Linked DNA regions of Yarrowia lipolytica. The protein of the gene in region 2 interacts with the protein of the main gene of each other region in a biochemical or structural test. Links are inferred from orthologs where the notes say so. Each region holds a gene or a part of one and is shown on either strand. Other genes may lie near its edges.

What was found.
Region 1: the proteins of YALI1_E21513g (region 2) and YALI1_B27399g form a complex in vitro, tested with the Saccharomyces cerevisiae proteins (2 studies listed by BioGRID, with this or other methods). The link is inferred for Yarrowia lipolytica from reciprocal best matches to the Saccharomyces cerevisiae genes RSP5 and SNA4.
Region 3: of the proteins of YALI1_E21513g (region 2) and YALI1_A05605g, one has a biochemical effect on the other in vitro, tested with the Saccharomyces cerevisiae proteins (4 studies listed by BioGRID, with this or other methods). The link is inferred for Yarrowia lipolytica from reciprocal best matches to the Saccharomyces cerevisiae genes RSP5 and SPT23.

Annotation. Positions count from the first base shown.
Region 1 is NC_090771.1:2,736,781-2,745,046, reverse strand, and holds YALI1_B27399g (uncharacterized protein), read left to right. Parts: upstream 1-5,163; coding exon 5,164-5,544; downstream 5,545-8,266. Other genes in the region: YALI1_B27454g (uncharacterized protein), read left to right, coding at 1-1,010; YALI1_B27429g (uncharacterized protein), read left to right, coding at 2,123-3,799; YALI1_B27404g (uncharacterized protein), read right to left, coding at 3,871-4,659; YALI1_B27360g (uncharacterized protein), read right to left, coding at 6,915-8,266.
Region 2 is NC_090774.1:2,145,430-2,156,230, reverse strand, and holds YALI1_E21513g (uncharacterized protein), read left to right. Parts: upstream 1-4,221; coding exon 4,222-4,252; intron 4,253-4,910; coding exon 4,911-7,444; downstream 7,445-10,801. Other genes in the region: YALI1_E21555g (uncharacterized protein), read left to right, coding at 561-629, 674-946; YALI1_E21552g (uncharacterized protein), read left to right, coding at 1,007-2,638; YALI1_E21535g (uncharacterized protein), read left to right, coding at 2,684-2,691, 2,736-3,039; YALI1_E21524g (uncharacterized protein), read right to left, coding at 3,450-3,727, 3,776-3,833; YALI1_E21478g (uncharacterized protein), read left to right, coding at 8,397-10,094. UniProt on the Saccharomyces cerevisiae protein: E3 ubiquitin-protein ligase which accepts ubiquitin from an E2 ubiquitin-conjugating enzyme in the form of a thioester and then directly transfers the ubiquitin to targeted substrates.
Region 3 is NC_090770.1:555,415-566,230, reverse strand, and holds YALI1_A05605g (uncharacterized protein), read right to left. Parts: upstream 5,648-10,816; coding exon 2,723-5,647; downstream 1-2,722. Other genes in the region: YALI1_A05662g (uncharacterized protein), read left to right, coding at 1-1,440; YALI1_A05592g (uncharacterized protein), read left to right, coding at 6,906-6,972, 7,023-7,450; YALI1_A05583g (uncharacterized protein), read right to left, coding at 7,477-7,693, 7,739-7,881; YALI1_A05571g (uncharacterized protein), read left to right, coding at 9,090-10,187; YALI1_A05527g (uncharacterized protein), read right to left, coding at 10,416-10,816. UniProt on the Saccharomyces cerevisiae protein: Dosage-dependent suppressor of Ty-induced promoter mutations. May exert its suppression effect through protein-protein interactions since does not present any of the motifs generally found in transcriptional activators or DNA binding proteins.

The DNA of each region.
Region 1 (8,266 bases), on a different chromosome or scaffold from region 2:
AAAATGAGGCTAGAAACCCCCAGTACGAGTTTCTCAAGCCCTCACACTCGCTGCACAAATTTTACCAGCTGTTGGTGGAACAGTATCTCAAGGTAGGTCAGGCATTAGATGCTGGTTTCTCGGCGCTTCCTGAAAGTACACGGACCAACATTGAGGCTGCTGTCAAGGACAAGTTCTACGCTCTGGGTCTAGCCAAGAGGCGTGCCGAGTGGATCTCCCACACTGAGCAGAAGAACCAAAGGGCCATCGAAGAGGCAGAAAGAGAACGGATTGCATTTGCAGAAATCGACTGGCATGACTTTGTGGTTGCAGAAACCATTGTATTTTCCGACAAGGACAAGACTGGGGAGCTCCCAGCTCCCCTTACTCTTGCTCAGCTGCAGTTCTCTTCACTGGAGCAGCGATCGCGAGGTCTGAAGCTGGAATACGCTCCCAACAGTGACGACGACGACGAAGAAGAGAATAAGGAGATTGTCACCAAGGGTAAGATGGAAGTCAAGGAGGACGCCAAGGAGGAGGCCAAGGAGGACGCCAAGGAGGGGAGTACAGAGGTGGTGGTCAAGGAGGAACCAAAAGTGTACTCTGCTCCTTCTAACATGAAAATTCGACCTGCTGGAACGTCCAAGCTCAATAAACTCAAGAATAGCTCTCCTGCTACAGTTGTTACTCCCTCTGGAGAGGTGGTTCCTGAGTCTTCGTATGATTCCCACATGCGAGTGTACACTTTGGACCCCAATTGGAAGGCTCAGAAGGACCTGGCGGACTCCCGTGCACAGTCTACTAACCTGGCCACCAGTGGAGTCACCCATAACATGAAGCGAATGGCTGAGGCCAAGCAAGGAGACGGCGGACGGCCCACCAAGAAGCCTGTAGTTGCGTGGGATGGACGTGCTGGATCTAGTGCTGCAGCCCAGGAGGAGGCTATGAGAAGGGCACCCAGCAAGGAGGAGCAGGCCAAGCAGAAGAAGGAGCGTCTGGCCAAGGAACGTGCCATTGGACCTGGACGATAAAAGGAGATACGGGTATAAGGATATAATTAGTCGGATATAAATCGCATTTGTATATTATTCTTATGAGACCATGTACTTGTAGGTCGATTTGCCTAAGGTATTAGTCGTTGAATAGCTTATCCAAGCACATACAGTACTCGCAGCTTCTACTGTAGCTACGTTGTAGGTATGAAGAGCCAAATGAAAAAACTCTTGCGAAAATTTTCGTCAATAGCCTGTTGTATAGCACGAAAAAAGGCACGTGTATCTTCGTTACCTATTCAAGAAGCTATAGGCGGCACGTAACCGAGTGTGAGCGGGCTGTGTAAGAATATCAGGGAGATAGTCCTGAGGTGGACTAATGAGTACAGTAGTTGTAGTCATTGGAGCAACAGATAGTATATTACGAATATATACGTGTACAAGTACAAGTACAAGTACAAGTACAGGTGTAGCCTCCCTTCACTATACGTAACCCACAGTCAGACATGACTCAATACCGTCAATGCCGGACTTATTTGTACCCGGAGATGAGGCTGGGAGGGGCGCTGCCTGACTCAGACCTCCCTCCACACCGTACACAGCCTGGCGTGATTGCCGTGTTTGTGTTACACGATGCCCTCCACAGTTAGTAGTACGAGGCGTAAACGCCACATTAACGCACAAGACGTGATACAACGTTGTTTGAGGCCACAAAGCTTGTCATGCGCAACACTCCCCATTCCGAAGGTGTATCCGCTCTCGTGCCTGTTGGTTAAGATTTGGGGGAGTGTTTGACGAGACCTGTTTTCATCCTGAATGATCATCTACCAGTATTCTACGAGTGATATCTGCCAAGACTTCGTCTGCAAGTTCTGTCTAACCTCCTCTTGGCATGCGTCGATAGGAGTATCACCATATGCACGATAGAGACCATGTGGGGGTGTCCGGGGAATCAAGGTTACCTTACCGAGGACCCCAAGATCCCGAAATTAAAGCCTATATTTATCGCGTATGTCTGAACCAAAGCCACCTTTCAATACCACCGTCCATACGGTTGTGCAAGCCACGATGAGTTATATTCGGGCTGGAGAGTGGCTTGACAGACAGTATATAATCTTGGGTGAGGTGTGTGCGACCGGATTATTCTCGCAATGCAGTTCAAAAACCCATTTGTCAAGGAAAAGGCTGTATCTGCGGCTTCCGTCGACTATGAGACGGCTGAGGTCTCTTCTACTGAAGGCCTGTCTGCAACAGAAGACGAAAAGTTCGACGGAGTCCTCGACGGATCTGGAGATCACAAGAACCCATTCACTGATCCAAATGTTGCTGAAAAGTTCCGACAGCTCTATGAGGACTCTCAATACGAAAGCAGACATGTGTTTGATCCCGATTTCGAGTGGACCAAGGACGAAGAGAAACGTGTCAAGAGAAAGATGGAGTGGAGGGTCGCTGGCTGGGCATGTATTATGTTCTGGGGACTGCAGATTGACCGAAACAACTTGGCTCAGGCTGTGTCTGATAATCTTCTAGAAGACCTGAAGCTGACCACCAACGAGTACAACTACGGAAACATGATCTTCTATCTGTCTTTCATGAGTGCTGAGATTCCGTCTCAGCTGGTTTCCAAACGTTTAGGTCCTGATCGGTGGATTCCAATCCAGATCTGTCTGTGGAGTGCGGTAGCCATGTGTCAAGGAGCCCTTCAGGGAAAATCTTCGTTCTATGCTACGCGAAGTCTCATTGGTCTCTTGGAGGGAGGATTCATTCCTGACCTGGTTCTTTGGTTGTCGTACTTTTACACCTCAAAAGAATTGTCCATCAGACTCTCCTTTTTCTGGACTGGTTTGTATCTCGTGAACGTTCTGACTTCGCTCTTGGCCTTTGGAATTTTGAGAATCCACTCTGGAGGTTTGGCTGGCTGGAGATGGCTGTTCATCATTGAAGGACTCATAACTCTGTGTATCGGACTAGCCTCTTTTTTCAGAATGCCAGCTTCGGCTGTCAGTACCAAGAAGTGGTTCAGACCAAACGGTTGGTTCACTGACCGAGAAGAGAAGATTGTGGTCAATCGAGTTCTACGAGACGACCCGTACAAGGGTGACTTTCATAACCGACAAGCAATTACCCCATTCACTCTCTACAAGTGTCTGTCTGACTTCTACATGTGGCCCATCTATGCCATTGGTCTTCTGGCATACATTGGAGACAGTCCCGAAGGAACCTACTTGACTCTAACTCTTCGACACCTGGGTTTTTCTCCCTTCAACACAAACTTGTTGACCATCCCAGTGAGTGTTCTTAAAATGATTCTTTTGTTGTCCTTCACTTGGCTGTCTGAAAAGATCAATGAGCGGTCCCTCGTCAGTATCATTCAACCCCTGTGGGTCATGGTATTGGTGATTGCTCTCCGTTTCTACCCTGAATCGGGTATTAATGTCTGGTGTACCTACACCATTCTAGTCCTTCTTCTTGGAGGGCCCTACATCCATGCTGTTGTTGTGGCATGGACTTCCAGAAACTCCAACACTGTGTCTCAAAGAACAGTGTCTGCCGCCATGTACAACATGTGCGTCCAAGCTGGAGGTGTTGCTGCCACACAGATCTATCGAAAGGATGATGCTCCATTCTACCACAGGGGAAACACCCAACTGATTATTATCAGTGGAGCAACAATCGCTTTGCTCATTGTGACGAAGATCTTCTATGTCACCATTAACAAACGAAGAGATCGAAAGTGGAGCGCCATGTCCAAAGAAGAGCGAGAGGAGTACGCTCAAAACTCGACAGACAAGGGAAGTCGGCGGTTGGATTTCAGATTTGCTCATTAAGCATGCATAACTTATAAAAATTGATGTGTTGTACAAGTACAAGTAATAGTTGTATCTCCGACGTGTAATGCTTAGTAGTCAAGAACAATCTCATTCACTTGAACAGGACGTTCTCGTTCCATAATTGCAACAGTTTCGACGAGATCATGCTGGTGGTAGACGTCGGCACAAATGATGACGACTGATTTCAATGCAAATTCCGTAACGTCTGTCAGTCGATCATATTTGGGGTTCTGTAGAATCTCCAGAGCTCGTTTACCCAGACTCCGTACTGACGCCTGCTCTGACGCGTCTAGAATGTCGGGCAGACACGACAACAGACCCATGAGCCATATACTGAGACCACGGCTGATTTTAGGTCCCAGCCATTTATGACAGTACTCCAAGAGCATGAACAATTGCTGGTGGGGCAACGATGCAATGAATTGTAGTGTTGGTTCGGGAGAAGAAGAGCCCGAAATGAACGTTTTCCATTTTGAAAATGTTGTCGGTAGCTCTGAATCAGCTGGTAGTTCAGGTCGTTCATCTCCATGCGATTGCACAGTTTTCCGTAACTCCATGAATGACTTTCTGATCTCCACTCTCCACTCGTTGATAACAGATAGTGGCATAACAAGAGACATCTCCGTGTATTTCTTCGAGTATGTTGAGGGTGTTGTGGCACGTCTCTGTCCTTTGACTGTCGTAAATGCTGGACTCTGGTTTGCTTCTCGTTTCACCTGGGCTAGATACTGAGCGACATCCATAGGGGGCCCTTCAAGGTCCAGGTCGGCCACTTGCTCGTCCAGCGGAAATGCCGATCGCTGGCCTGTATCTTCGTTCAACGGTCCTGCCGTGTACTCCTCCAGGTTTCGCTTCATCTGGTGTGTTCTGTTGTTATCGTGAGGCTCTCATCAAAAGATTCGTGAGCCTAACTCTGATGGGCTTTGAGCCGCATGGTTGTGTCAGTGGCGAGATACAACTACATTGTAGTGTGTTTTCTGTAGATTGAGCGTTCGATTTTGGCGACTTTGGAGAATTTTTTTCACATTTCGCTACTACATGGTCTCTACACACAAAAATATAGACTTCCTAAAACATTGACATATACCATACAATATTCCAGATGAAGCCTTGGGCTGTATCATGACATCACCCGCTGTGGGAATACCCGAACCCTAATTATGGAGTTTAGTTCGCCACCATCGTCAAGCAAGCCCTATATATCACCATACCAACGCCTTGCTTAAACCGCAAACCCACTCAACTATATACACCTGTGACGTCTTCTAAACGACACAGATATACAAGCACAAGTTACAACCCCTGAGTAACAGCCCAGGTCCGCCTCTAAACCCCCATCGCACACATCCACACACATCACCATGAGCTGCACCGACCTTCTTCTTGTCATTGTGGCGGTTTTCTTCCCCCCAATTCCAGTTGCCATTCGACGAGGTGTCTGTTCCGCAGATTTCTTCATCAATGTGGCTTTGTGCTGCCTCGGTTTCCTGCCCGGCCTGATTCATGCCTTTTACATCATCTCGAAATATCCCGGTGACGAGCATGGATGTCGGCATGGCGGCTACGCTCCTGTCAACGGCTCCGAGCAGACCTTCTACGGCTCTTCTGATCTCGAACGAGCCGGTCCTTCCAGCAGCCACCAGCAGCAGCCCCAGCACCAAGCTCCTCCTTCCGGGGAGTACTACACTTCTCTGGACAACAAGAAGGACAACACCAACCGCCCTCCTCCTTACTCTGGGTAAGTGGGTATCTTTATAAGTAAGTTAACGTGACATTTCTACAGCACCAGCACCCATTCTCGTATGACAATTATTGTGTAGTAGGCAGACATCGTATTCGCTTATGAATAGAACCACCCTCTCTCTCTATAAGTATATAACGCTGCGCAATCTTGCATGGACTGCGGTGTTTATGTACCCCTTTCCCTTTTGCCACTTGCGGTCATTAAGTGAGTAGCGTACCTATCCAACCGTTATTGAGGGTTGTAATCGGCCCTTTTATTAACGAATAAGACACTTGTATACGTCCTTTAAACGCTCTTCTACAGCCCTGGGTATGTGCGCACACGAACCATCTTTCAATACGGGAAGGAGAAAAACTCCATCGTAATACGTGATGCAGGCCCCGCAGACAAACGCAACTACGATATCTGGGGTGTGGAGATATCATAGGCCTCCCCTTGTTCCCTTGTGCTCCGATCCCATTGATATTATCAAATACACACTATAACAGCCTCAGAAATACACTAGCAGCAGTACATGTCATCCAACATGCCTTGGGTCGGACATGTCGGATCTGCAGGCCAGCTCGTGTCTCGCTATATGATAATCCGCGCCTTTTACCGAAACGAAAATCGCGATCAGAACAGGAGACCACACGGACACGGCCCGTGCCCAACCGTAGCATAGCCAAAGTTTCAAGGTGACCCTGGCGGCAGCCAGCGCAGCGCTGGGTTGTGATGATGCAATCTACAGCAACTCAGAATGGCACTAAAACTCCAACACGGTGTCATGTCCCCTATACCACTCGGAGAAAGGGAGATAGTCCAGCGGGAGCGCCGTCCGTCGTAGTGGGATCACCAGGGTACTTTTGGGTGTTTTTTGGCTGTTTCTTTGGCTTTCAAGACTCGATTTTGCAGTCTCATAACGTATCTTATATCGTTCCTGTTGACAAGGCTAAATAAATAATCCCACATGGAGGAACCAGCAGCCAATAAATTCAGTATATACCCCCGCTTGACGGCAAACAAGACTATGCAGGCTACGGTCTGAAGTTTAGCAGAGCGCTATTGTAGGCCCGCATTAGTCCCCCGCTAGTGCCTTAGCTGAATTATTCCATCCTTGGAACCCAAATGACCGTGACAAGCTACGACACTTGTACCTACGACATGAGACACCAGGAACAGATACAATATCCATAATTCGAAATATAGGAAGAGAACATCTCGTTTTCATATTATACAAATAAATAAGGACTAGCCCGAAAATGAGCTTGGCATTGACAACCGAGATTAAATAAAAGCCTCTGTTATTTGTTGTTCCAAGACGGAAGACAAAGAAGTGAGCCTGTCCATCCTAGAAACAAATGCATTGAACCGCATCGTCGCAATCCACTAAGGCCCATACGAAAGCATCGATCCGTGGGTTGATGAATTGTGATCCATCTTTAGCGAATGATGATCCACATGGCCTGACGGACCCGGGTTGCTGTACTGATACATATCTCCCATATCCGGAATCTGCTGCTCCGGAGGTGGAGGCAGATCAGAGTGATGTAGATCTCCAGAATGCTGCGGTTGTTGTGGTTGTTGATGTTGATGGTGTTGTTGTGGTTGTTGCTGCTGATGCTGATGCTGATGCTGCTGCTGCTGTTGATGCTGCTGCTGTTGATGCTGCTGCTGTTGATGCTGCTGCTGTTGCTGCTGTTGCTGTTGCTGCTGTTGTTGGTGAAGAATATGTTGTTGGATATGTGGATCCTGGTTGTCGGAGAGTCCCAGTTGACTGTGGTTGGACTGCCGTCGCTCTGGTGGGGACTGTAGCATCTGGTCTTGTGTAAGCTGCTGTTGGTCCAGTTGGTCGAGTTGCTGTTGTTGAGACACTTGAGGGATGGGCTGTTGGGGCTGCTGTTGTTGTTGCTGTTGCAACAGATCAAGCATGGGGCCGTCATAGTGTTGTTGGTGTCCTTCTTGGGAAGGCCCGGGTCCCAGTTCGGAGTGAGCAGGCTCGATCTTCTCATCCTTGTCGTCCAGGGTCAGCTTTTGGAGTCTGCCAGAAATAAGATCCTGGTAGTTCATGTCGAATCTACCACAAATGGAACGAGGCCATTCCAGATAGTGATGGAACTCCTCAGGAAGCACATCAACGATAGCTTCCAAGTCGCCACTGAGACGATCTCGAAGCCAGAAAAATGAATGAGACATGTGCGCAAATGCGCAGTAGTGGCCCAGAATAACCAAACAGTACGGGTCTCCTGCTCGAGTAGCTTGCAGGAAGCCTCCAGAGATGTAAGTAGCCCAACCGGGAAGATGTGATTGGCCCCGGTGTTTGACGTCCAGATTGTAGAGCTCTATCAGCTGTTGTAGCTCCATAGAACACATTTGTCGGTGGCCCATGTCGGGGATTGTAGAGATAAGCTGCCAAAGCACAGGTTCGTTGGGAAGGTATGATCTGTTGGGCATGGGAGGAGGTAGAGGGAATAGCACCATTCTATCCTTGGCCGACAGCTGGAACACCAGCTCAATCACGCCTCTTCCTACTCCAATCACGTCGGCTCCTCCTTCAAAGTTGATGAGGGGAATCAGTTCTCCAAGCGCGAGGGCAATCATAAAGATGACTACGGAGGTGGACAGAATGGATTCCTGGTTGGAGGCGTTGAGGGTCACTAGTGACTGTCTATGTCCCGCCAGGGCTTCTGTAAAGGCTTTGACTATCTTCTCCAGCAGTTGCGAGTTGGGCTTGAGGTATC
Region 2 (10,801 bases):
CCAACCTACTGAGGGGCTGGCGGAAATTATAGCCGCGAAAAGCATGACTCCAGACGCAACAGACGGCGTGTCCGATTGGCCACACTGGCATCTCTGCACACGCCCACGCCCATTTGTGCATGGATCCACGCTGCTCTCGCGCTGCTCTCGCGCTCCGTCTTGTGCGTCGCCGGATTCCGACCTCCACGGTAGGTTAAGGTACAAGGGAGATGATAAGGGTATTTTAAAAAATGCAGCAAGGTATATACTTACACTTGGTGCTACTGTGCGGACGCTATTACAGGTGGTACAAGCGCTACAAACTAAGTATTTTTTTTATGCTACAGAACAAGTATATTTGTCCTTCCACGCTAGCTGGGTTTATGGGGTTTGGGGGTTGGGGAGATTTGGGGGGTGATTTGGGGATGTGTGGGGGGCGTTTTGGAGCGTCCAAAAAACACGGACTTGGGGCTTTTTCGGCGCTTGGATTGGCGCTTTTTGGCCATTTCGCTTTTTTGTTTGGCCAGTCGCTCAAACTCGCCCCCCCCCCACACTTATCAGCATACAACATCCTCTTTGGGATGGTGCAGATTGGTAGTGCATATCGGCAAAGTCAAATCCCCCCGCTTATCAGTTCGACTCGCCGTTGTGTCCGCACCCACGTTACGTTATATATATAGACCATGGGATCCAGTTTTCGCATGACAAGACGACATTCGTGGGTTACACAGACAGGTTGCACAGTAACCGATTCACAGTTGGTAAGAACGATTTTGTCGTATTAGATATCATCCTAGATATCATTCATTCAGATATCTTTCATATCGATTTCGTTCCGTCAGATTTCGTTCCGATTTCCAATCTCACATTTCGTTCATCTCATTCCGATCTCACATTTCGCTCAGATCTTGCATTTCGTTTGTCTCATTCAGATCTAACACTTGGCTCAGACTTGGCTCAGATCTGACACTTGACTCACCAACACTCGATTGACATCTAACCACCATATCTCACACTGGTCAACAATATGGACGCAGATCAAGCCCATCTTGAGGCGCTCGGATACAAGGAGGAGTTCAAACGAGAATTCGGCCTGTGGTCCACGTTCGCCGTCTCCTTCTCGGTCCTCGGACTCCTCCCCTCCATTGCATCCACCCTCTTCTACGGACTGGGATACGCCGGAACCGCCGGAATGACGTGGGGCTGGCTCATCGCCATGGTCGGCGTGCAGTCGGTCGCCATGAGCATGGCAGAACTGTGCTCGTCAATGCCCACCTCCGGTGGTCTCTACTACGCCGCAGCGGTGCTGGCGCCCCCCAAATGGGGCCCTCTCATGTCGTGGCTCACGGGGTGGTCCAACTGGCTCTGCCAGGTCACGGCCGCACCCTCGGTCAACTATTCTACCGCCTCCATGATTCTCGCCCTCAAAACACTGCACGACCCCTCCTACACTGCCAAAACATGGCACGTGTATCTGCTCACTCTGGGCATCATGTTCTCGCACGGCATCATCTCCTCCATGCCCACACGGTTCATTGCACGGTTCAACAGTGCCGGAACCCTCATGAACACCCTGTGTCTGTTTGTGGTGCTGTTCATGATTGTTGGCGGCGCCCAGCCCGGAGAAGACGGCCACAAATTCAACAACTCCCATGAGGTGTGGTCGTTCATCGACAACCAGACCGACTGGCCTAACGGAATCGCCGTGCTCATGTCCTTCATCTCCATCATCTGGACCATGTCCGGCTACGACTCTCCTTTCCACCTGGCGGAAGAGTGCTCCAACGCCTCCGTGGCCGCTCCCCGAGCCATCGTCATGACCTCCGGAGTCGGAGGACTCATGGGCTGGGCCTTCCAGATCGCCATCGCTTACACGGTCCGAGACGTGGCCGGAGTCACCCAGGACGAGCTCGGCCAGCCCTTTGTCACCTACCTGCAACAGTGTCTGACTCCACGGTTTGTCACCACAATCACCGCCCTCACCATCATCTCGGGCTTCTTCATGGGCCAGGCCTGCATGGTGGCAGCGTCGCGAGTCGCCTTTGCCTACTCTCGTGATGGCTGCTACCCTCTGTCCCACATCTGGGCCCAGGTCAACCCCTACACCCAGACGCCCGTCAACGCCGTGTGGTTCAACTGGATCATTGGTCAGCTGCTGCTGCTTCTCATGTTTGCTGGTGACACCGCCATCGGCGCCATTTTCTCCGTGGGAGCCATTTCCGGCTACGTGGCCTTCACCATGCCCATTGGCATCAAGGTCTTCTGGTCGTCGGATAAGTTCAAGCCCGGGCCCTGGAACCTTGGCCGATGGTCGCGGCCCTGCGGCATTCTGTCGGTCGCCTATGTGGCGCTCATGACCCCCATTCTGTGTCTGCCCCAGTACAAGGGCAAGAACCTCGATCTCGACACCATGAACTGGACCGTGGTGGTCTACTTTGGTCCCATGCTTCTGGCGTTTGGCTGGTTCATGATCGACGCACGAAAGTGGTTCAAGGGCCCCAAGGTCAACGTCCAGCATGCCATCCACAAGGACCACGAGCTTGAGGAGCAGTCCACCAATGGCGTGGAGTTCTTGTCGGGCGTTGAGCCCAGCGGATCGGGCAACTCCTATGAGGAGCACTCCAAGGCCAAGGACTGGGCTCGAGCCGACCAGGTTTAGTTTGGACTTTATGCCGTATTTATTTGCATAGTGAATGTTTACTTGATGAGTTAGTAGGGATAGGAGATATCATAGATCAGAGTAGTATCAGGATCAGCATCAGGATCAGCATCAGCATCAGAAGAAAGGTATCAGATCAGAATCAGACCAATGGTAGCGATCAGAAGAAAGGTATCAAGTCGCAAGTCACGGAAGTGGTTCTGTCAATGGTCGATAGTCAACATGTGGATTTCGTGAGTCTTACCGAGTCTACTCGTAAGTCGAGACGTTCTTCTGTTGTCCTCGTGTCGCCTGTTACTCGTCAGTCGTCTCTGTTGACCTGCCGAGCCAAACGCTCGCTCCTATATATACATCCGGCGATATTTGCTCAGACCATTTTCCGCCCACTTTCTCCAAAGTAGGGCAAAGCTGACGCCATGCAGATGCGCTTCCCTTTTGTGATTAGTGATCGGAAATACCCCAGCCCTAGCCGCTCCATGTTCGTTTTCCGCCAGACTCGAACCCACGGGCTTGTCTTCACCGCCACTCGCTACTCCCAAAATAGCTCCGAGGAGGCGCAGCGACCCACATTAGTCACGCAACCTGCACGATAGCAGAGCAAAAGCTCCGTGTCGAGGTTGGCGAGCAAAGTTGAGATATGCCGCAAGTTTGGTGAGGTGGTCGGCCTGCCCTCGGCAAGTGGAGGTGTCGTGGTCACCAGTGTCTCAGGTACGATGCCATCTGGAGTATAGATTGATACGAGTGCACTCCTAAAGACTGCTATAGACTGCTATAGACTGCTATAGACGCTATAGACTGCTATAGACTGCTCCTATACACTCCTCCGACTCCACGAGCCCTTCAAATGTCGCATGGACCACGTCGACACGCTTTTACTTCGCGGTCCGCTTGCGCATCCATCCGGCTGGACCAACAGTGGCATCTCCTGAATAATACGGGGCGGAGTGGAGTATCGTGGGTCGTAGGTACAAGGCGCTAGTGAAGGTGCTGACAAACGTTGTCGAAGCGGTTTGAGACGGTCAGAAGCGGTTCGTCTCAGCGGTTGAAAGAGCGGATTGGCGACCGTCGAGTAAAGTTGGACCCAAGGAGCTGTCCCACGGTGTAATACAGCCAAATGTGCTCATACTGGGCTCGAACCGTGCGTGTCCCACGTACAGCACATGGCCAACAACCTCGTCAAATTGAACTCACACATTCACTAAAGTTCATACTGCAGTACAGTTGGAAGTAGGGTGGGGATGAAGAGAAAAAAAAAAGGAATCCTCAGAGGAGAAACAAACGAGAAGGAGACAAGGGCCCGTGGGGTATATATTTGGCCGCGCAACAAACAGGTGGCAGGCACGTGTCTGCTGTCTGCGGGAGTCCACGTGACTCGGCCACCGGCTCCTTTGCCCGTCTTTTCCCACCACCACTATTAATGCCTCTACGTACCCCGGGTAACTTTGAAATTGGGAGGCGAGGCAGCAAGACTAAGACCCAAACTGTGTGTGTCACTCTCACTTGAGCTAGTTATCGAACCGGGCTACAAAGCTCCTAGATTCCAGCACAGTCTTCCTCTTCCACCAGAGCGATAGAATTCCGGCATGCCCAGGACAACCAAGCTAAGGCTGACGGGTGAGTATGAGCCGGTGGCGTTGCGCCACGGAGCGACTGTGGCAGTCAGTCAGGGACCAGTCAGGACCAACGGAACACTGGGTGGACATGGGACAGGGTGACACAGACAGAGAATGTCGCAGACAGAGAATGTCGCAGACACAAGGTGGCACAGACAGAGAATGGCACAGACACAGTCCAATGGGAACGGTCCTCGGCCGAACGCCCCTATGACAACTGGCCTGATATCCATTCGGAGATACACAAACTCTGGACCGGAGATCGAGTCTGTGCGACACCAGTGACGGAACGAGTGACGGAACGAGTGACGGTGCGGAGAGACCATGCTGAATGACGGTGTCGAATGGCAAAGACCTACGATATGGAATGGCCAGGACGTCTTCAAGACTTGGTCTCCTCTGTGATCAGAGTGGAGGAGTGCCCGGGTCAAATATGTTCTCAACGTCGTTGCCGTACGTTATTGTACATCATTGTCATCAGTCGTTGCCATCGTTGCGTTGTATGGTCGGGGTTCATATCATTGCATTGGTCGTTGCCCGTCGTGCGACCTGGTATCCGGCCGTCGTGTGACCCGGTGTCCGGCCGTCGTGCGACCCGGTGTCCACTCGAGCCCTCGTAGCTCGCTGCACACGCTACTCTTCCAACCCCGCTAACACAGTCATCGCCGCAGACCAACTATACAAAAGAGATGTCTTCCGTCTCCCCGACCCCTTCGCAGTGGTCCTCGTGGACGGCGGCCAAACCCGAACCACCTCCGTCATCAAGAAAACGCTCAACCCCTACTGGAACGAGTCGTTCGACGTCGACGTTACCCCGTCGTCCATCATCGTTGTGCAAATCTTTGACCACAAAAAGTTCAAAAAGAAGGACCAGGGCTTCCTCGGCGTCATCAACATCCGCGTGGGCGACGTGCTCAACCTGGCCCAAGGAGGAGACGAGATGATCACCAAGGACCTCCGCAAGGCCAACGACTCGCTCGTGGTCAACGGCAAGATCATCCTCAACCTCAGCACCAACACCGCCGGCCGACGCGCCACCGGCGCCTCCTCCGCGGCAGGCTCCACCGCCCCATCCACCGCCTCCGTGTCTGCTGCTGCTCGCACCAACCTCCCCGACATTTCGTCCCTCAGCGTCGACAACTCCAGCGTGCGAAGCAGCTCCACCTCGCACAGCGCCACCCCCTCGGCCACCACTAACAGCACATCGACCAGTGCGCTGAACGGGGCCAATAACACCACGGGCACTACAACCACCACAGGCCCCCCTGCCGGTGCACCCACCGCTACCGCCACGTCCACGGCCGCACGCCCAGCCCCCAACTCCCGGGGCTTCTCGTCCTTTGAGGATCAGTTTGGCCGGCTGCCCACCGGCTGGGAGCGACGTACCGACAATCTGGGCCGAACGTACTACGTGGACCACAACAATCGCAGCACCACGTGGACCCGCCCGGCAAACTCGCAGAACGAGTCCGAGTCGCGCCAGGCCCGTCAGAACAACACTAACCTGGAGCGGCAGCGGCACCAGAACCGAACGCTGCCCGAGGAGCGGGCCCAGTCGCCCACGCTCGGTTCCCACAACCGTACCGGCTCCGGCGCCACCGCAGGTTCGTCGTCGGGAGCGGCGGGAGGAGGTGCAGCCGCCGGCGGTGTTGCAGCCACCTCCCCGGGTGGTACTCCCCGGTCTGCATCCGACGCCGTGGCCATGACCATGTCTGGAGCCACCACACCCGCACTGGGCGAGCTGCCTGTCGGCTGGGAGCAGCGGTTCACACCCGAGGGACGGCCCTACTTTGTGGACCACAACACACGAACTACAACCTGGGTCGACCCTCGGCGACAGCAGTACATTCGAATGTACGGCGGCACCAACGCCGCGGGGGGCACCAACACGACCGTGCAGCAAATGTCTGTGTCCCATCTGGGTCCCCTTCCCTCCGGCTGGGAAATGCGGCTCACCAACACTGCTCGTGTGTACTTTGTGGACCACAACACCAAGACCACAACCTGGGAAGACCCACGGCTGCCCTCGTCGCTTGACCAGAGCGTGCCGCAGTACAAGCGGGACTTCCGACGAAAGCTCATCTACTTCCGGTCGCAGCCTGCTCTGCGAATTCTGCCTGGCCAGTGCCACATCAAGGTGCGGCGAGATCACATTTTTGAAGATTCATATCAGGAGATTATGCGGCAGACGCCACAGGATCTGCAGAAGCGACTGATGATCAAGTTCGACGGCGAGGAGGGTCTGGATTACGGAGGAGTGTCGCGAGAGTTCTTCTTTTTGCTGTCGCACGAAATGTTCAACCCCTTTTACTGTCTGTTTGAATACTCGGCGCACGACAACTACACTTTGCAGATCAACCCCCACAGTGGCATCAACCCCGAGCATCTCAACTACTTCAAGTTCATCGGTCGGTGCGTCGGTCTGGCCATTTTCCATCGTCGATTCCTTGACGCCTTCTTCATTGGCGCCTTCTACAAGATGATTCTCAAGAAGAAGGTTATGCTGGAGGACATGGAGGGTGTGGACGCGGACTACCACCGAAACCTGGAGTGGGCGCTGGACAACGACATTACCGATGTGCTGGACCTGACCTTCAGCGTGGAGGACGACCAGTTTGGCGAGATTGTCACCATTGATCTCAAGCCCGACGGCCGAAACATTGAAGTGACCAACGATAACAAGATTGAATACGTTGAGCTTGTGACCGAGTGGCGAATCAGCAAGCGTGTGGAGGAGCAGTTCCAGGCGTTTGTGTCTGGATTCTACGAGCTCATCCCCCAGGAGCTGGTCAATGTGTTTGACGAGCGGGAGCTGGAGCTGCTGATTGGAGGTATTGCCGACATTGACGTCGACGACTGGAAGAAGCACACCGATTACCGGGGCTACTCGGAGTCGGACGAGGTCATCAAGTGGTTCTGGCAGTGCATTAGATCGTGGGACAGCGAGCAAAAGTCGCGGCTGCTGCAGTTCACGACCGGTACGTCGCGAATCCCCGTCAACGGCTTCAAGGATCTGCAGGGCAGCGATGGTCCTCGCCGGTTCACGATTGAGAAGGCTGGAGAGGCCCAGCATCTGCCCAAGTCGCATACCTGTTTCAACCGAGTCGATCTGCCTCCGTACAAGAACTACGAGGATTTGGTCAAGAAGCTGTCCATGGCTGTGGAGGAGACTGTTGGTTTCGGCCAGGAGTAAGCCGGGGAGACGGGACTGCGCAGTGCAGGTAGCATATACATTTTTATAACATGCTTGAGTGAGCTGAGTAAGGCGCGGTGAGTATAAACCTTTTATCAGTATCGTAGCTGTACAAGTGGTTGGTAATCAGCCACAGTTTGAGTGAGGGATATACACTGGGTGTGATGGAGAGAATATGTAGGTGGAAGAGGTATGGGATTGCATTGTAGACGAGTATACCAATCGGGTATAGCCTTAGATGAAACAGTGATTCAAAAGAGTGATTCAAAAGTGAGCGACGCCATCTGAAAACCGGTTGAAAAACAGTTTGAGAGACCACTGTTCTCTCCACAGCTGGTGCGGGAGTCTAACCTACTGTGCGACACTATTTGCCAAAGCTACGATTTAGGTGGGGCTGGTTTGAGGGCTGCAGTTTGAGGGTTGCAGTTTGAGAGCAGCAGTTTGCGTGTTTTCAGTTTGCGAGATTGGTTTCTGGTCACGTGACCGGCGAGAAGGCCCGCGGCCTGATTTTAGGAGGTGTGCGTTTTTCTGACTGCTACAAGTAGTTTGGTTGTGGTTGTATTTCCCGGACATGACAGTTATCGCAGAATTAGGTTGTAGTTTCTGGATTGGGAATAGTGAGCGGGTTGGGGGTGTGGGTTGTGAAACGGGCTAGGGTTGGTGGATTTGGGCATTTTAAGAGTGGAAATCGGATTTTTGGACACGTTAATTTCCGGCTATCTCTTTTTCCGCTTCTCAAACCGTCGATTATGTGCCCGTCGGGGTGTCTCGTTTTCCCCACTGGTTCCCCCGGAGTCCGCATTTTACGTGCACGAGCAGTCGGGTATTTTCCTTATTAAACCTTGGCGTATCTGCGAGGCTTATCTTCGCAGTTGAAAAGAAGCGTCGGATGCACGCGCAACCGACTTTTTCGACACTTGTTTGACACTTGTTTGACTGGTCACACACACACATGTTACTCACTCTGATTGCGCTTTACACGGGCGTGTTTCTCAGCGCGCTGGACGCCACCATTGTCACCTCCATCTATGCGACGATTGCTTCTGATCTGAACGAGCTGTCGCGAATTTCGTGGATCGCCACGGGCTACCTGGTTTCGTGCGCGGCGTTCCAGCCGCTGTATGGCCGTCTGAGCGACATTTTCGGTCGAAAGGCCATGTTGCTGGTGTCGTCGGCCTGTTTTGGTGTCGGCTGCACCCTGTGCGGTCTGTCGTACTCGCTCATGCCGCTGATTGTGGGCCGAGTGATTGCCGGAATCGGCGGCGGTGGGCTTCTGACCGTCAGCACCATTGCCGTTTCCGATCTGATTCCGCTGCGACAACGAGGAATCTACCAAGGCGTTGGAAACATTGCCTACGGTTCGGGCGCGGCGATCGGAGGAGCTCTGGGAGGCGTGCTGTCGCAGTGGATTGGTTGGAGAGGCGTGTTTCTCATCCAGGTGCCCTTTATTGTCTGCTCGGGCACGCTGGTGGTATTTGGAATGACCAACAGCAATACCAAGAACCAGAAGCTCGACGATCCCGAGTCCGCCGACGAAAACGCCGACGAAAACACCCCCGTTTCGCCCCTCACCACGTCGCCGGCGGACTCGGACGTGGCCAATCCTCTGTCCGGAGCCAACTCGTCGGTTCTCTACGGATCCGTGGAGTCTGAAAATCTCCCACATGCCAAAAGCACCGATTCTGACCCCACCGGCGAAACTACCTGGCAAAAGGTCAAGAACATCGACTTTGCCGGCTCGGCTCTGCTGGTCACGTCGCTGTCGCTACTGCTGTTTGCCATTTCGTCCGCCACCAAGTCCGCCTGGACCGAACCCATCATCTACACCCCGCTGATCATCTCTGTGATTGCCGGCGTGGTCTTCTGGAACTACGAGCTCAAGTGTGCCAACCCCGTGATTCCCGTGAGTCTTCTCTATCGACAAACCATCTTTGCGTCGTCGCTCACCAACCTCTTTATGACCATGGGAATCTTTGCCATGCTCTACAACGTGCCTCTGTGGTACAAGTCTGTGCTGGGCGATTCCGACGCCAAAGCGGGCGCCCGGCTGGTGGGCAACTTCATCGGAGTCTCGTTTGGATCCATGTCGTCCGGAATCTACATGCGAAAGACCGGAAAGTACTACAATCTGGGAATCGCCGCGGGAGTTCTCACCACCATGGGAGTCTTTGCGCTGATTCCTCTGTCGGCAGAAACCCCGGCCTGGCTACAATACACCATGCTGTTTGTTCCCGGAGCCGGCTATGCCGCCATGCTCACCGTTTCGCTGCTGGCGCTAATTTCCGCGGTCTCGAACCAGGAACAGGCCACCGCAACCTCCATTCAATATGCCTTCCGAGGCGTGGGATCCACTCTGGGCGTGTCGCTGTCCTCCACCATCTTCCAGGCGGTCATTTCCAAGTGGTTGCCGGTCAAAATGTACGCCGTGGTGGACAAGCCGACCCCCAAGGAGGTGCGACTGATCGAGCTGACCATTGCCGCCGTCAAGGAGTCGGTGACCGCCATCCGAGAGGCCCCCGCAAAGTTCCAGCCCGCCATCATCGCCTCCTACGACCTGGCCATCAAAGACGTGTTTTTCTACGCCACCGCAATGTGCGCCATCAGCACCATTTGTTTGTATTTTGTCAAGGAGCATGAGTTGAGACAATAGGTCTTAGAGTAATAGATTGGTAATGGAAGTACATGGATAGAATCTTCCGACTTCAGGTTTTCAAGTGGTATGTACATACTAGACTCGATTTAGTTGGATAAGTTTGTTAGAAATAGTTGGGCTACAAACCCTGCTGCGGTTTGTTTTTGATGTTACAGTGATGGTGAAGGGGATAAAAAGATATCATCGTAAAGACAAGAGTCATGTTTTAAGCAAATGTGTAGTAAATTTCCACTGTTTGTCTCATCTACTGGTGTTATCACAAATTCAAGACAAATATTTAACGAATTCAGTTGGGACGTTTGTTGGATTTACTGTAGAGTAATATCAATCGTAACTAACATGGTGGTTGCTTTCAACATCATTATTACTGCTTTCACAGCTACTATACACGAGATATATATATTTACTAAACCCCGATGTTGCCACCGTTGAACCCAGCTCGATTCCAGCTTCCAAACACTGCTACTTGTGTCTTTTCAGAACAACTCCTCCAGGACTTGTGTTTTAGAAAATTACTTACGGTTTAGGTGGCCGTTTAGTTAAAGAAAAAAGTCCGCTGGGGGTGCCAATTCGGGGTTGCAGAGATGCTACAAAAACAAAAGTGGTACCAAAATGTAGAGCCAGGTTAGATATTGTCATTGACACCGAAATATCCCACATATACCATACAAAATTTGCCGCTATTCCAGACGAGCGTATTTTTA
Region 3 (10,816 bases), on a different chromosome or scaffold from region 2:
GCAGAAGAGTCCCATGAGGATGATGAAGATTATGGATCACACAGCAGTAACACCACAGGACTAGACGCTCTCTCAGAGACAACAATCTCTCTTCCCCGGTCCGACTCGCCTTTACCTTCGTTTGAACAAGTCATGCAGGAACAGAGATCACTCATGGTGGACTTTACCCCCATTGTCTCAGTGAAGTACACGAAGAGCACGCGGGTCAAAAAGATGACCACTGCTCTAGTGCGTCACATGGTAGTGTCGGAGACAAGGGCTCAAACGAACGAGACTCTGGTCCAATGGGATCTCTTGTCGGGTCGATCCAAGCCTGTTGAAGGGCCCGTTTCTGCAATCTCCAATCCGGTCTCTATCCAAGCCTCCACTCACAAGTACTCGCTTCACTGCTCTCTTCCTGCTGGGCTTCCTGAAACTGCTTCCCACAACTCCAACAAACTGTGGTACACTCTTGACACCCAGGTGAGCTGCCAAAAGCGGTTACATTCAAACTGCGGCCTCATTGAGCATTCCCAGGAGATTGTCATAGCCCGAGGCAGAAAGATAGACGACCAGACTCTTCTCCCCGTCAATGTCTCGGCTCCCTGGCTCAACAAGCTCAGATTCGTTGTTTCTTACCCGCAGAAAGACATTTCTCTAAACGAAGATACCGAGATCCCCGTCAAGATCACCACGACCCTGTTTGAGAAGCCCATTCGACTCAACTCCGTCAAGATCTCCGTGACCCAAACCTGCAATTCAAACGCCAATGACACGCAGAAAACTGGACTCCTCACCGTGTATTCCAACCGATACGCAGATTCGGACGATGTAGAGCATGACGAAATAGAACTCCAGCAAGCCAGGGAAGAAGGGTTCGACGTGAAGGAAAACTTTTTCGACTCCATCCATAGAGGCAATCTTCTCATCCCCGGAGCCGAAGAGACAGTGCTGGATTACTCGCTGAAGTTGAATTCCCGGATCATTGACAAATTATCCGCATCAACCTCCCGCACCCACCCTCTTCACGTGGTGCACAAGATATACGTGTCGCTGCGCTTCTCACAATTGGATATGACCAACCAGCCCAATCAGAAGTCCCGAAGGTACGTGGACCTGTCTCTGTCTGCGCCTTTGGTGTTCTCCAGAGCGCGGTCAGTCTTCGGAACCGCTCAGGTGGACGCTTGCTCTAACCTCGTGCCGTTCGAATATGAAGACTTTTTGCTGTGCGAGTACCCCCTGTTAAAGAATACAAACATGGTCTTCAAAAACGATTACGCCGATGACTCTGCTCCTTCCTACGAGTCTCTAGCACCCCCAGATTACGAGGCGATCGACTCAAAATGGGAAACCAAGGCGGATACCAGGGGAAAGACTGGTTGCATGGCTCGAAGTGGATGTGTGGACCAAGGTGAAATGAGGAACACGAGATGTCGGTGGTTTAGACGAACCATGCATTAATCTTCCTAGCAGATTATTCGAATTACGATATTGGACTTGTCAACGGTGCCAGCACCATCAAGTGTTCTATAAGTATCTCTGCCAATACTTGTCGAGAGACATCTGAAGTGCAGAGAGACTAAAGTCATGGTCGTTGAATGGATTCAGACACCAGAATTGAAGCCGTGAAATCCCTTCAGGTCTTCAAAGGGCTCTCTCAAAAAAGCGGACTAGTTTAATCTCGTCAAATCGAGTTGCAAAAGCGAGTGTTGAGTCGCAGATGTGGAATGTCTATCGTGACAGCTATACCTGAATGCTGGAAGTACCAACTAATCAGACCATAATCCCAACTAAAACTTTTCGCTCCAGCAGGAGAACAGCAAGGGGTCTCAAAAATGCTCAACAGAACCAGTATTTACAGCCACAATACATAAATATCCACAATATAGTACAAGTACACTTTTGTACACGCTCAGAACATGACAGTGATGATCCGTCCAGGTTCGGGTCAATTGCACAACCGTGAGAAAAAGTACTGCTCATAAAGACAATATAGGAACAGTCTTGACCTTAGAAGAAACGGTCTGCAAGATCACAATATATTCCATTATCACACTGCTGGAAGACTCTAGAGTCATAAATCCGTTTGTGCAGTTTTGAACCAGTTTGTAGATCCTTTTTCTGGACTCACAACAGACTTGAAATTACCCATTAGTCCAAACAAAAGCCAGAAGGGTACTAATGAAGTCAAGATAAATATTCTGATATCAATTATAAATCAATTCGCGAGATTTTTGACAATTTTCATGATAAATAATACAGGATACATTTTTTTTGAAAATCGCCTGGCTAGCTCAATCGGTAGAGCGTGAGACTCTTATTCTAAGGTCATCTCAAGGCTGTGGGTTCAAGCCCCACGTCGGGCTTTTTTAAATTAAAATTTAAATATTTTTTTCCCAAAAAATCCTCCTCCATTGGTTCTTTGATGGGGAACAAAAATTTACTGCCTTCGACCAGATTTGAACTGATGATCTCAGCATTACTAGTGCTGCGCCTTACCACTTGGCCACGAAGGCGGCTATGACGGCGCAAAGATGATTATTCAGCCAAATTCCGGAAAAACGAAAGAATAAAATTAGAATTAAAAATTAAATAATACGCCCCTGACTCAGGTGGTACAACCTCACAGTACTGTACTGTACATTTAGTTACACCAAAAGTACAATAGAACAAATCATACTCTTTACAAAACACCGAAAATACTCAATAAATCACTTGTCTAAATGCAACTATTATTTTCGACTCAACTCAACCACTTGACTTTGTGAATGTGCTTCTTGGGAATCAGGACATGCAAAGTATAGTCCAGAAAAGTGTCTTTCATAGACTTGACATCCCAAGAAGATGTCGAAGAGTAGCCCATGAGAGAGGACCGAGCGGTCAGATAGGCCCAGTACATGAGAGCAACAAAAATGGGAAGCCAGAAGAGGAAGAACATAATGTCTTGGTGCAGAAGCGTACGCTTCGACTTCCAGGCCTCCATGACCTCCTCCTCGCTCATTTCTACTGCTCCACAGGAAGCAGCAGACTCATCGGTGGGTGTGTTAGAAGGAGTGGCAGACACTTCTGTCTGCTCCTTTCGGTCCCACGAGCTGGGGGCTGCTGGGGTGGAAGACCCAGCTTCAATGACCGACGACGAGTAGTCGATTTCGGGCACCTTGGAGCCCTCGGGAAAGATGTCTTCGTATTTGGGAGGAGCATGCTCGTTAGGAGACGAGGAAGACGCGGGAGACGCGGAAGACGCGGAAGACGATTCCGACGTAGATGACTCAGCGACCTTGAAGGGCGACTTGATGAAATCATACAGATCGCCCATGTTGGAGCTCCACACCGCGCTGTTAAGGTCGTACATGTACTGAGCGATACCTCGGGGTCCTCGTGCTCGTCGTCGATGTCGACGCGACCGCTTGGAAGATGCGGGCACTTCAGTCTCTGAACCAGAGTCATCCGAAGAAGCAGACACGCCCGAGTACATGAGATCCATCAGATATGACCGGATCTCCTCCTCAGCAATGTCCAGCGCGTAGTGACCGGACTTGGACTCCACAAAGAGGTTGACGTTCTGAGAAGCCAGGTACGTGACAACATCCAGCTTGCCACGAAGAGCAGCGTAATGCAGCGGGGTAAAGCCCGCGTCGTCTTGGGTGTTCAGGAACACGCCCCGAGAGGTCAAGAAAACCACTAGTCGTGTGAATCCGAGTCCGGCAGCCAGGTGCATCATCGACTGCGTCTTGGCGTTGGTGAAGTTGAGGCCCTCGTTGTTTTCAGAGCTCTGCATCACGTCACAGCAGCTCAGCAGCTTGATTACCTCGCTCTCCAGCTGCATCTGCTGTTGAATGTAGTCAGGCTGTTGATGCTGCTGCTGTTGTTGAACCATCACGCCAGAAACGTTATTGACTCCTCCTCCTCCAATAAGCCGACGAGCAATGTCCTTAGCGTCCTCTAGCTTGCCGTTCATCTTAAGACCCACCACCTGCAGAGCCAGCTCGATGAGTTGTCGGTCCGTGTCATCGATATATGTGAAGACCTGGGGGTTTTTGACGGGGATACCAGAGAAGGCGACAATCACGGGCCCGGCAACCTCAGTGGCAGGAAGCTGTGCGACAATGGTCGTATCACTCCAGCACTGGGTTGAGGCAAAGTTGTCACCAAACTTCACCACGAGTCCGTCATGGAAACCCTGGCCCAGCAAGGTGATCTCCATACCTCCCCGGATAGAGCCCTGAGAGGGAATAAGCCGCTTGACGGCAGGGACAGAGGAATCCTCCTCCGCCGCACTCTCGGACCCACTCAACAAACTGGCCATGTTGGTGTATGACTCGGAGAAGTCGGTGGATGAGGGCACAGACGTGAAGAGATCCGTGTCGGGAATGGAAGATGTTTCTGAGACAGAGCCCAGCTTCTGGAGTGACGTGGTCGACGACATGGAGTAGGGTGTGTCGTCGGCGCCACTCTTACGTTTCTTGGTGGTTCGAACCACCTCCATCTCCATCTGAGGACCATCGGGAGAGGGCGATTGCGCCTGTGATTGTGGTTGTGATTGTGGCTGTGACTGTGGTTGTGATTGTGGTTGTGATTGTGATTGTTGCGATTCGGAAGAGACTCGAGCTGCTAGAGAGGACACGTCGCCCTCGGTCAAGGCCTTGTGGTCGTCGGTGATCATGATGGGGGTGGTTTTTGTCTGGGCAACAACACGGCCCGTGTGGTCCCTCAGCGAAATGTAGGCTGTGAAGCCCAGCTCCTCGCCGTGGTGGCGACAGTAGCACGCGATCCGCATGGGCAGATCCAGCCGTCGACCCACCACTCCTCCTTCGGTGGTCACGGGGGACAGCTCGACAATCTCTTTGCAGTTGAAGATGATGGCGCGTCGGTCCCGGTCGCAGTTCCAGTGTGCTTCGTCGATGGGGACACGCACCTTTTTACGCGACGCTCGCTTTCGCTCTCGGTTCATGCAACCAGAACAAATATTGACGAAGTTGCGGGGGTCCGAATGGCACACGACGACCGTCTCCAACATGAGCACGTCGGCGTCGGGCTCGAAGCCCTGTCGCAGCTGCAGCTTGGGTTTGGAAATTGTGTCGGTGGGGAGATGCACAAGGTTCTGTGGTGGCGGCGGGTACACAAACATGGACAGGTTGATTTGTGTCTCCACTCGCGAGCGGGGAGGGAGGTCCTGGACCACAAGCTTGTGGGCGGTGTGACTGCCAATCTGGTCCCAAGTCACCGGGTTGAAGTCCGGCAGATAGGTGGGGGGCGAGCCGGAGTTGTGGGGGCCAGGGCTCAACGACGGGGGGTAAATGATGGGCGTGGTTCGGCCAAACTTGTAGTTGGCCAGGCCGGACTCGTTTTTGCGTTTCTTGGCCTTTTGTGTCTGTGTGGCGGGTTGTGTCGAATGTGTCGAATGTGTCGGAAGCGTTGCCGGAGACTTTTGTATCGGCGTGGGTATCGGGGTCTGTGTGACCACGCCCTGCTGGGGCGAAAAGAGGTCCATGTGGAACTGATCCATGTCAATGTCTAGCTCCTCGTTGAGCCCGTCGTCGTCCTCAAACATGCTCATGTTGAGGTGCTGCTCAATGTCGTAGTCCTCGTGGGGGGCTCGCCGCAGAAAATGCTGCGGCAACATGGATCGTGCAATGGAGTACACGCCGCGTTTGGAATCCGTCTCCATTTTATGTGCTAGGGCTGGCGCAACCTGCTACTGTACTGTAGAACCACTGGTGTATCGGAAAGGTGTCGGTAACGTTCCGGGTGCTAATTTGGTGGCGCTCACACGCTGTTGTGACAAAGCGAGAGTGCGTGTGTGTGTGTGTGTGTGTGTGTGTGTGTATGCCTCTGGGCTGTGCTCTCAAACTTGTGCGGTCTCGTGATGGGGCTCTTGGTTGCGTCGGGAGTGCTCGCTGGCGCAAATGCGGGTTTTGTCTTGCTCTGTCTGCAACTCTGGCGCGCTGCTGGTGATGTTGGCAGTAATACTGTCGTGACTGGTTTTGACCCAGCGGTGGAGCAGTACACTCCTCAGAAACCCTAAATCTAAATTAAATTACCGGGTCTGACAATTACTCGTAGCCTGGTATGAGAAAATCAACGTTAAGATTGGTCAACTTTATACTGGTATTACCAGTCGGGTCTTTTTTGACGGTTGTTCGTCTATCGCTTTCCCAGCACAACGAGGGGAACTGCTAGAGACGCTTAATGTATCATGTGGTTATAAAAAGAGAGTAGAAATCGCCGACAATAAAAGCCCATCGGACCCCCAATCACTTATCTTCCTCCTCCTCCACACACACACACCAACCCCGACCCATGTCCAAACCGCGCACTAAACTAGTTTGGCCCTAACCCCCGTCCACCACTGGTGCCTCTGCCACAACAAGCCCATCTGCCGACCAACCCGGAACGAGCCCCTGACCCACGCTCTAACCCCGGTGTTTGTGCCATGTGGCGCTAGACCCAGCCGCGAGCTGGTGGCGGCGGTTGCTACAGTAGCTCCTGTACGTGCACATGCCCACGTCATCACAAGAGTATCCACACGGGCTTTGTATTTTTTTTGAGTTGCACAGTCAGGTGTGGGGAACCCAGCTGATGCGGCTTATAGGTTTTTGGCCATTACCTGTACGAGGCGACCCTTGCCCTGGGGGGCTAGACACAGTGCCTCTTTTGTGGTTTTTAGGCTTTGCAATTAATCCGAATTACGGGGCGAGGGAGCAGCAGAGTGCAAAGAGAGGCGGGAAAAGCGAGCGGAAAAAGGTGTGTGAAAAAGAAATGACCAAGACCCAAACAAGAAAACGCTGACTGGCTAACATCGAGACGTTGGAGGACCCAGGGAATAGCCCAGGGAATGGCGTGTCCAAACCACCAACAGGGCTACTCACCACTAACGTCCGGGCCATTGGAGCCAGAGCTGCTGGGGTCGTTTCATTAATTAGCAAATGTCCTTAGCTCCTGGTGGCTTTCGAGCCAAGCACGGATCGGACAAAACAACGCTATCGACAGATGGTTATACAACAGATGACATTTACAGCTCATACCAGGGCTGCCAAGATGAGGAGTCCAACAACAGCAAAAAGTAACGACAAGTCACCACAAGAAGCTCCCGACACTCATATCTCGTGGTATCGTTGCATTTTTCCACTCTCTATGTTCAATCTATGATTCCAGCAGTTGCACCTGCTCTTTAGGACCGCTACGATACAACCAAAGTATCTATTGCACCACCTCTCAAACACACAAGATGCACTGCTCTGTCTTTCCCGTCTCCACCACAGACCGACTACAAGTACAGTATGTGCAGTGCAGTACAAGTAGATGCACTTGTACGTCATCACAGCTCCTCTTTTTCCTTCCCACTGACAGCTTTCTACTCCTCCCATGTAGCAACCCTTTACTGTCATACGATCTTTGCTACATGGACCTTGTCCTACCTATGGGCGGTTTGTTTTTCCGTGGCATTTATCATTTATTGCTTCAGTTATGAACGTTACGGCCAACTGTTTTCCACGACTATAAGGCGTCACACTGCCTTGCTATACCTCCTATTCTGCTGAAGTTATGACCACAACCCGTGATGCACTCCCTCCTACAGCGACATCCAAAAACACTTTGCTGTGCACAACGCCCAAAATGTTCCGAAATGTCTCGCGAGCTACGGCAGCAAATGTCTCGTGAGCTAAGTACGGCAGCGAAAACAAATGTCTCGTAACCATCTTTGTTTTTCTTGCTCAGAGACACACTAACTAACTCACCGTCTGTAGCCGGGTCACACTACGGGTGTACTTTGCGATACCAGATGCTACAATTGTAGCCCAGACCAATGTGGACTTGTAGCCTATGCGATCGTGCTACTTGTAGGGGGACTGTATTACACCAAAGTTGTTTTGAAACTGTGATCAATACGCCGCAGTCCATGAGTGTGTCACCCCTTTTTTTTTTTCTTCTTTTTTTTTCTTCTTTTTTTTTCTTCTTTATTCTTTTGATCCCTAGCCTGCTCCAATGAGATGCGCCTTTTTCGTATTTCCTGTTCGGGAGCGTCGTGTGAACCTACGGCGGCATGGCAGCTGCGTAATCATTTCCTGAAGAGCAGATGTCTCCAGTTTGATTTCGACTGCGGACGGATTATTGAGATTATCGCTAGACATGCTGCAAGGGGAAGGTAAAACCCGGTAGGGTAATACCTGGCTAATTTCCTCACATAATGATAAGAGGTCAATAGTGATGAGAGGAACCAGCTTGGTCGTAGACGAGATGTCCATCCTGTAGATGTGTATCCGCTGATCTACAATCTCTTGTCGTGAATGAGCAAGCACACACCCTTCTGTGTGCTACTATCAGAACGTGGTGTCCCTAGAAGTGAGCTGTAAGTCGTTATATTAACTATATCTAATCAATAATACTTAGGATTTTCAATAGCTGACACGCCACCAAGACAGCCCTGGTGAGAACGCAAGTCAACAGAATAAAATGCTGGAGGAAAAGTGTTCAGCTCGACTTTGGCGTTAAAGGCTATCTCAGCCATTTGTGCAAACAGCTATTGATTTTTCTCAATACATTTTCAATACATTAATTAAAACATCATCTAAGAGAATAATTCTTGTATCGAATGTAAGCAAAACGGGTTATACTGTGCAAGAGGAACGAGAGACTTGTGACTCCGGTGGGAAAAAACGGGTGTCCAAACATTTATCGTCTCAGTCCGATCTGACCAGGATTCGAACGATGAACGAGGAAGATTGCCCAATATGATGACTTGACTGGTTTAAAAACCCCAAGTAAGGATAATTACAGCTGGGATATCAGCTTAAAAAATTAAACAATTAAAAAAACAATAAAACAAATAAAACAAAATAAAACAACCAATATTACGGCAACACCAAAAAGGGCAATCTTGTACCAGGCGGAAGTAAAAGAAAGCGAGAATGCACTGGATATCCCCCTCCCCCGACACTTTTTCCAGCTACCTGCATCAACTCCAATCCGCGTCTATTCGACCACCACCGCGAATCGAACTGAAGCCATCGGTTAAACTCTAACGTAAAGCCTATTCCAAAAAATTATGCATGAAGGGTGTTTAAAAAATATATTTCAGAGCATGCTGATCACTAGCTACACAAACCACCATGTCGACGGCAAAGAAACAAACGATACATTTTTCGGGCCACAACAACTTCCGACGGCGGCTCGTGCTCGCCACGTTATCGGGCATGCCTGTGCGAATCGACAAGATCCGGTCAGACGATGTGGAGCCCGGTGTGAAGGACTACGAGGTGTCGTTTCTACGTCTGCTTGAATCGATCACCAACGGATCGGTTTTTGAAATCTCCTACACAGGTACCACGGTTGTTTTCAAGCCCGGAATCATTGTGGGTGGTTCTGTGACCCATAATTGCCCCCTGAGTAGAGGAGTGGGGTACTTCATTGAACCTCTTCTGCTTCTTGCGCCGTTTGGCAAGAAGGCCCTGACCGCCACTCTTCGGGGTATCACTTCGCATTCTCTGGACCCGTCGCCAGACAGTATTCGAACCTCCGTGTTCCCCGTGATGCAGAAGTTTGGTATTGAGAGACAGGAGTTGAAGATCATTCAGCGAGGAGCCACTCCCCTTGGTGGAGGAGAGGTGATGCTGCACTTGCCGCACCTAGTGCTACATCCAAAGACCCTTCATGCCACCACCACACCCACCATATCCAAAATCAGAGGCATTGCATACTCGTGTCGAGTGTCTCCTGCGTCCGTGAACCGACTGATTGATGGAGCGAGAGAGGAGCTGAGAGCCACTGGTTGCGAGACATTTATTTTCTCAGACGTGGCTCGAGGAGACGAGTCTGGAAAGTCGCCTGGCTTTGGTATTGTGCTTGTGGGAGAAACCAGACCCGGATTTTGCATTTCGGCCGAGTCGGTGGCGGTAGCAGGCTCCATTCCTGAGGATCTAGGTCGAGAAACCGCCAAAAAGCTCATTGAGGAGATCAGTAGAGCGGGCGTGTTTGGCCGCAACCAGCTCGACATGGCCATCATCTTCATGATTCTGGGATCCGGAGATGTCGGACGGCTGGTGATTGGAAAACAGAACATTGACGAACGGTTCGTCACCCTCGCCCGAGATATCAAGAAGTTTTGGGGCGTAGAAATGCGTCTCAAGGAGGACGACGAGAACGAAAACGAGATGATCTGCACCGTTAAGGGAGTCGGCTTTGTCTCCGCCAGTAAGAAGATTGCTTAAGTAGGAGGAGACAATTGATCTAACGATAGAGGGATGGTAAACTAATAAATAGACGGAACACATGGCTTGATTAGAGACAATAGCGGGAATATGAAATATGGATGTAGTACTTCTATGGTAGAACCTACTCGTGATAAATGTGTATAAAACGTGTACTACAGTACCTTTAATCAGCTAAAATACATTACTACATAAAACCATACTAATTACAAGATGCAACCCTCTCCATCACAACGAAGACTTGCCAGACCCAGGAGTCCACTCGTCCCACTCAATTACCCGCGTCTCTGCAACACCATACTCAGTTCGAGTCCAATGACGACCTTCCCGCACATACTCAACCAGAGGATTGGTGTCGTAATTGCAATAAATGGAAGTTGTCCGAGGCCCCGAAGTGTCGTCTTCAAGAACCAGCGTGGCGTATGTGCCGTTGGGGATGTCCAGAAGAATCTTCTGAAGATCATCCATAGTCTTGACTGGCTTTGAGTTGACATGGGTCACAAAACATAGATTGTCCTGCTCCAAATCACTCAGTTGAGCCGAATCGGGAAAGATGACCATCTCCGAGGGCCATTCAGTGGCATGGGTCTGCCGAACATCAATCCACGGCTTCTGGAAGACGTTGTCGC